Macaca fascicularis: one gene and its partner. The protein of the gene in region 2 purifies or fractionates together with the protein of the main gene of each other region. This does not show direct contact. Links are inferred from orthologs where the notes say so. Each region holds a gene or a part of one and is shown on either strand. Other genes may lie near its edges.

Region 1 (3,648 bases), on a different chromosome or scaffold from region 2:
CAGGGGCCAGGTATGATGGCTTATGCCTGCAATCCTGACTCTGGAAGGCTGAGGCCAGAGGATTGCTTAGGCCCAGGAGTCCAAGACCAGCCTGGACAACATAGTGAGACCCCATCTCTCTAAAAACAAATTTCAATTTAAAACTTTTTTTTTAATATGATAAAGAATTCTTGATTTAAGATTTTAAAAGATTGAGTGGTAATATTAATGGATAAATTTCCCCATCTTGAAAATGTAGATGCCAAAGTACAACAAAATCAAGCTTGCTGTCTTAAATGATTTTGATCTCTTAAGTTGGCGAATATTATAAATAACAAATCCTTTTAATGACCTTCAGTTATCAGAGAAAATTAAAATTGAGTTTATCAGTAATAATTTGTCCTCCATTATATTTATTCATTCAAATACTGAGAATCTACATGTGCCTGATTCTATGTTGAGAAAGCTCCATGAACTTCAATGATAATTAGCAGTCTGAGGGAAAAAATAGTCTAGACCCAGAGATGATATGTAAAGAAAATATAATAAAACAAAAGTGCCATGTCCCCACCCACATGACCCTCCCCTCAATAAATAGCTTTTTCTAAAAGGAAACATCTAGCTAACATCCTTCCCTATCCTTCCTCCCCCAGCAACCTAAGCCCTATCTCTGCCTTACTTAAAGCCACACTGACAAACACTTCACTATTCATCCCTTTTCCCTCTTTAGAATTGAACAAAACAGATATCCCAGCCCCCAAGGCCTTGTGCAACTGTCTCAATTATGTGAGGATGTGGCATTTGGAAGAGCACAGGTCTGTCTTGAAGGAAAACCTAAACCAAAGTGCCTTTAATGGGTTTATAAAGTTTCCCTCTGAAACCAGATCTGCAGAATGAAGGGGAGTAATTACCAATGAACTTGAGGCCCAGATCCTCTAGATAACACAGTTCTGTGCTTCCCCAAATGATTGCTGCTGACAACACACAGATAGGAAGACACCAGCCAATTAGCTCCCTCAGCTGCTTAGTGTTGTCTGCCTCGCCCGGACTCAAAAATTCAGGCTTATACCCAAGTGGAGAACACAGACAAACCAGGAGAGTGATGACTTGTGCCAGCACCCAGAGCAATTCTAATCTTCATATTTTCTCTTATAAGAATTCACAATATAACAGGACTAAGGAAGAAGTCTTGAGTTCCAGCAGCAACCCTGCCATTCAGCAGATGGAGAACCTCTGACAAATGGCTTATAAGCCAAAATTCCTCTTCTGTTAGATGAGAAGTTTGAAAACAACAATTTCTGAATTCCCTTGGGATGATGGAAAACCATGGACCTGGCAGTTAGGCCTGAGCTTAACTTCTGCCTCTGCCACTCACTATCTATAGAGCCTTAAATAACATATCTAACCTTACTAGGCCTCATTTTTTTAATACATAAAATGGAGCTAACAAGACCTGTACTGTGCAGAACTACTGGGAGGATTCAGTGGAGATAAATGTATACAGAGCATCCAGCACAGTGTGCGACACATACTGGAAATGCAGAAACTCTTCTAGTATAATAGCATGATTCCTTCTGGGGGTCATTGCAAAGATATCCCAAAATAAGGAATAATGGCATGTGGGCACCCACTTACTAAAAGAAAAAACAAGCTGCCATCATGCAGAATATTCTGGAGAACATGAAGGGGCCACTGCATCCTGAAGTGCCAACCAGTTTTTGGCCAGGCTGATGGACATATTTAACTTAATGTGAGTGTTAGATTGATTGATTGAGATGGTGCCTCACTCTGTTGCCCAGGTTGGAGTGCAATGGCAAGATCTCGGCTCACTGCAACCTCCGCCTCCAGGGTTCAAGCGATTCTACTGCCTCAGCCTCTCAAGTAGCTGGGATTACAGGCACATGCTGCCACACCCAGCTGATTTTTGTATTTTTAGTAGAGAAGGTGTTTCACCACGTTGCACAGGCTGGTTTTTTTTTTTTTTTTTTTTTTGAGCCTGAGTCTCTCTCCGTCGCCCAGGCTGGAGTGCAGTGGCACGATCTTGGCTCACTGCAACCTCCACCTCCTGGGTTCAAGCAATTCTCCTCCCTCAGCCTCCCAAGTAGCTGGGACTATAGGCGTGTGCCGCCATGCCTGGCTAATTTTTGTATTTTTAGTGGAGATGGGGTTTTACCATGTTGGCCAGGCTGGTCTTGAACTCCTGACCTCAAGTGATCCCCCACCTCGGCCTCCCAAAATGCTAGGATTATAGGGGTGAGCCACTGTGCCAGGCCAACCCAGGCTGGTCTTGAACTCCTGAACTCAGGTGATCCAACCGCCTTAGCCTCCCAAAGTGCTGGGATTACAGGTGTGAGCCACTGTACCCGGCTGAGTTTTAGCTTTAAATAATTAAAAGAAGAAAACGGTTCCAGAATGAAAGAAAATATAGACAAGTTAACCTAACAGCAAAGGCTCGGAAACAGAGCTCAATACCTACAATATTGGGACAGGATTTCTAGAGATAAACTGTCTTGCTGCTATCAGAATATATAACCAAGTAGCACCCAAAGGGTACTGGAATAGTTCTAGATACTCACCTAAATGAAACTATGAGTTCTAGCTGTAAGTATGGCACTAAATGCTGCAAATTGATGAACCTTCATTTTTCTACCAGTGAAAGGTGCTAGAGCCAAATAACCTTTTAAGGGCCCTTGACACCTTCCAATTAAAAAATTTCTATCAGTGCTAAAAATTCTTACCTGCAGATTTGGGGCAACCATCTGAGAGAGTCAAGGTCGCCTCCAAGGGGCTGCAAAAGCAGGTGCTGGAATGACAACTGGATAAACACTCACTGAACACCGAGTTAGAGGAATTGGAAAGGGATCCTGAAGCCCCATCACTCAGCTCATAAAACCCTACAAATAAAAACACCATTGGAATTAAGATCATGTCAAGGAATAATGCATATTCATGCTTAAAAGGAAAATGAATAATCATTTAGGGAAAGGAGATTTTTATTTGTTTGTTTTTTGGCCAATTTTGGTTCACTGGACTTTAGTGTCCTAATCTTATGGTCTTATTTCAAACAATCCTTAGGAAAAGGCAAAGAGCCATAAGCAGGGGTACATTTCAGAGTTACTCTCACCCTCAAACTGACCTTACTCCTTGACCCCGCCTTTGAAGATGTCCAAGGAAAGAAACTTAGATCTGTCAAGCCTCATCTTTATCATGATTGTTTCAGAAAAATAATAAGAGAAAAATCTATTTAAGGAGCCAATGGTTTAAAAGAAAAAAAAAAAAAAAAACTTTTGAAGTGGTCTCAGGAAGTTGAAGTGTGACTAATTTTCTAGCCCAGTTCTGACTTACTCAAGTTTCAAAGGAGGGCAGCTCTTGCAGAAATTTGAATAGCTTTTATTTTTAAACTCGGGGGGACTCCAGTCACATCGATCTCATTACCAAAAATTTTGTTGTCTGAGTTTATTTCCCTCTTATTCCAATGAAACTGAATGGCAGGCTGCTTTTTTTTTATTTTATTTTTTATCCTCTCTCTGTGCACTGGAAACAAACTCCATTGCCATTTGCAGGTCTGGGAATGTTAACCACAAGGGGCTGAGATATAACTCAAGAGTGCAGAATTCTGTCCTTGTGCTCACTCACTCACCTGAGCTAGGCCGACTGTCTGTCTCCAGG
Region 2 (4,323 bases):
AAACCCTGTCTCTCCTAAAAATACAAAAATGAGCCGGGCACGGTGGTGCACACTATAATCCCAACTACTCCGGAAGCCGAAGTAGGAGAATCGCTTGAACTCAGGAGGCGGAGGTTGCAGTGAGCCGAGATTGCGCCACTGCACTCCAGCCTGGGCGACAGAGTGAGATTCCACCTCAAACAAACAAAAAACAACAAAAAACAAAACCACCCACCATTAGATCAAACAAACAATGGAAGCTCCTCATTAGACTGAAAGCTCCCAAGGAGAGAGCAAGCTGGCGCTCCCATTCCCCTGTGCCTCATCTGGCACAAAATTCGGCACGAAGCAATCTGCTCAGCCTGACAGATCCCAAAGCCCAGCCTTGGGGTCATCTCTCCAATGGGTTCCCTGTGGTGGACTGGACTTGCCCCTTCTTCTTGACCACGACATCAAACCATGAACACTTACTCTGATCAACACCATGTCCTGGCCACACACCACACACTGACACTTAGGCATTAACAAATACTGTCAACTAAATGAATAAACATATAAAGCATCAGACTCTCTGCCCTGGTTGTTTCTCTCTCTCTTTCCACACACACCCTTGCCGCCAAATTAGGACACCTTGTCTAATTAACCCATTAGCCTAATATGGTCATAAGAGCCAGGATATATATCAACTTAATCCATTTGCTGTCAATGTGACAACACAGCCCAGTCACTACCAATCTGTCTCAGCATCATGTAGGATTCTTCCCAACATAACACAATCTCAGCATAGCTCAGTCCACTCTTAAGACAAATTACTGTGTATCACCATAACCTTTATAGAGTAGTCAGCCTCAATACTAATGACAATTACCATTCACCAAGAATTCACCATGTACCACACACCTGAACTAACCATTTCATTCTGTGATTTTCTCCATGTCACAGACGAGATCAAGACACAAAATTTAAATTAATTGTCCAAGATTGCACTGCTGACAACTAGAAGAACCTTGACTTAAAGCCAAGATAACTCCCAAGATAGTATCACCCTTCCCATGTCAAACAATCTTTCTAGCTAGAGTCCAGTTTGTTCAGTTCTTCTAAAACCCATGCTATCTCAACTTAATCCAGCCTGCCTTCAAAAAAGCAGAGGTTGGGCTGGGCGCAGTGGCTCACGCCTGTAATCCCATCACTTTGGGAGGCCGAGGCGGTCCGATCATGAGGTCAGTAGATCGAGACCATCCTGGCTAACACGGTGAAACTCCGTCTCTACTAAAAAATACAAAAAATTAGCCAGGTGTGGTGGTGGGTGCCTGTAGTCCCAGCTAGTGGGGAGGCTGAGGCAGGAGAATGGCGTGAACCCGGGAGGCGGAGCTTGCAGTGAACCGAGAATCAGCCACTGCACTCCAGCCTGGGCGACAGAGCGAGACTCTTGTCTTTAAAAAAAAAAAAAAAAAAAAAAAGCAGAGGTTGAGGACCCAGAGAGGGCTCAGCCCCAAAGACCATAAACACAAAAGGGCTTTCTCTGCATTATTTACATGCCAATCTAGTCCAAGATAGCCCTGAATGTCCAAATTACCCTAGGATAGCCCAATCTATTCTAGCACAGCCTACAATGTCCCCACACGCAGCTGTCTGCACCAATATAGACTAGAATACCCCAATACAGCTACCTGTACTAGCATGGGCACCAACAGCCTTGTCTGCCCCCATACTGAGTGCTCCAATAAAACCATGTCTTGCCCCAAGATAAACCAGGATTAACCAATACAGCCCAGTAGAGTCCATAATGGCCCAAGTTTGTTTTGTTTTGTTTTTTGGTGTTTTTTTTTTTTTGGAGATGGAGTCTTGCACTGTCGTCCAGGCTGGAGTGCAGTGGCGCGATCTCGGCTCACTGCAACCTCCGCCTCCCAGGTTCAAGCGATTCTCCCTGCTTCAGCCTCCCAAGTAGCTGGGACTACAGGCGCCCGCCACCACGCCCGGCTAATTTTTTTGTATTTTTAGTTAGTACAGATGGGGCTTCACCGTGTTAGCCAGGATAGTCTCGATCTCCTGACTTCGTGATCCGCCCGCCTCGGCCTCCCAAAGTGCTGAGATTACAGGCGTTACAGGACTCCTGAGAACGTACTAAACGACCAGACGATAGATGAATTTACTCAGTACAGTCTAAAACACTCCAAAATAAACCAGTATGCCTCCACCTATTCCAGTAGAGCCTAATCGTCTCTAATCTGGTTTAGGATATCCTAGTCTGCCCGTGTGCCTCAATCTATCCAAGCATAACCTTGTCCATCCTGGGAGAGTCAACCTACCTCAGCATGGTACAATCTGCTCCACCACAGGCCAGAAAATCCTAGTGTGGCCCGAAGTAGATGTGTGCCCCTCCACGTCGCCCAATCCACTCTAGCAAAGCCCCCGTCGGTCCTATCTAGGCCTTGCGCTCACCCGAAATCCTGATCCATAGACTTGAAAAAGTACTTGGCGCCCGCGGGCCGCTGCAGGACGCTCTTGAAATCGCCGAGGGTGATGCGCTCGGCGGGGACAGGGATCTTCACCAGGTATGGAGTCTCTTCCTCATCCAGGTGGTAAATCACCTTCGTCTCCCCAACCCCACCGCCCCCAGCGCTGCTGCCCGCCATGGTCTCGCCCGCGCGCTCCCGGGCTCCACCGCCCACCCAAGGGGCTAATGGCCCCTGCCGCGCCTGCGCACACCCGCAAACCGACGAGCGAGCGCGGACAGGACGGACCCAGTACTGGAGAGAAGCAAAGGGAAAAAAGCAGGGGTCGGCAAGGGTGGCGGCGGGGGGCGGGCCGCGAGGTGCGACTCAAAGCCGCGGTCTCAGCGGCCGCCGCGCGCCACCGCCACCGACAACGCGAGCGTCCTCCAGGTCCCCGCCCACCTCTCCTCATGTCACGTGACCTAAGCCCGCCCACCCCGCGCTCTTCAGCCGCCCCCGTCACGTGACCCCTCCCAGTCACGTGACCGCGTGACTCCTCCTAGTGCCCCCGCCACGTGATCGCTGCCTTCGGCAACGGTCTCCCAGCCCCCAAAGGTGTACCCCAGCCGAGGTCCTCGGAGCACCCAGGATAAGCTGGCCTGTGCCCTCAGGAAGCGGACAGTCGGCTCCCACCCGGCTTTACCCCACACCGGCGGGAGCGCGAAGCAACTCTGACCCTCAGGAGTGTGCGTGCAGGGAGTGAAGGTGGGGATTGTGGGGGTTCCTAGACTCGAGTGGGGAGGGCCAAATACAATGAAAGCTCTGAGGTGGCTTACTCAAGTATCTTGGGGTGGGAGAGGCCCAGTGCTGTGCCATCTTCAGACTGGACTGTGAGAGGTGGCTTTCAGCACCACGTCCAGCTAGTCTTCAGCCACCAAAGCCTCCCTCCCAAGCAGGACAGTGAGGGCTATAAACACAAAAGAGCCCACTCTGCTTTATTTACAACACGCAGGCTGTCTGTACAAACAGCGGCCAATATTATTAAAAACAAAAGAGGTGAGTGAGAATCGTCACCTTTCTGCTTTCCTTCCTTGCTTGGCCAGGCTCTAGTACTCCACCTTTGAGCTGCCATGCCCAGTAGGGGAAGTCCAAAATTAAAAATACAACCGGTGTAGAAGAAAATAAATGGGGAGTGAAATAGAAGAAAAGATGAGGGAGGGGAGTGCTAATATTTACACTAGAGTTTTATAGACAACTGTCCCATTCCATCCCAATTCCAATCCTGACCCAGAAAGTGATGGTGGCAGGTCCAAGAGACAGAGATTATGTGTCTAGAGACACAGACAGCCTCCCACCCGCAACCGTAATGGGTTCAATTTCAAGTTCAGAGTGGGGAGGACGGATAGGGTAGGCAAGTGAGACACTCATTTTCAAACAAGTCTCCCTTGGGAATTCCTGCCTTGAAGTGCGGACAGTATCCAAGCTCCAGGGGGTAGGCTGAGGACCCTGAGGCTCAGTTCCCAAATCATGTTATCATTTGGAAGTTCCAGGCTAAAGTTGGTGCCGTCAGGGCTCTCCAGATTTGGGAGGCCCCCCTAACCGCCGGGCCTCTGGCCTCAGTTCCTTGCATTTCTGGCAATAAAAGAAGTCAGGGACGTTGGTCTTCTTAATCTTAGCACAGGAGAGGTGGATCCACGTCCCACACAGGCTGCACTCAATCATGGGCCGCCCTGCAAAGGGCTTTCGACAGTAACACGTGATCAGATCCCATGAGTCATCACCTGGGGAAAAAAGGTTTGTTTGGTATTCTGCCTGAGCAGTTGTTGGATCCACAACACCCTCAAACCCCTCGCCCCAGCCCAAACCTCTCACCTGATTCTACCATGATGTCCTCATCCATGACCCGCAT

What was found. Proteins that work in one complex are often made in the same cells at the same time.
Region 1: the proteins of DVL2 (region 2) and DACT1 purify together in Homo sapiens (affinity purification with western blotting; 3 studies listed by BioGRID and IntAct, with this or other methods). This does not show direct contact. The link is inferred for Macaca fascicularis from reciprocal best matches to the Homo sapiens genes DVL2 and DACT1.

Annotation. Positions count from the first base shown.
Region 1 is NC_088381.1:126,474,455-126,478,102, reverse strand, and holds part of DACT1 (dapper homolog 1), read right to left. Parts: coding exon 3,620-3,648; intron 2,874-3,619; coding exon 2,718-2,873; intron 1-2,717.
Region 2 is NC_088390.1:7,281,012-7,285,334, forward strand, and holds the start of DVL2 (segment polarity protein dishevelled homolog DVL-2), read right to left. Parts: upstream 2,871-4,323; 5' UTR 2,616-2,870; coding exon 2,422-2,615; intron 1-2,421. Other genes in the region: PHF23 (PHD finger protein 23), read right to left, coding at 3,981-4,195, 4,287-4,323.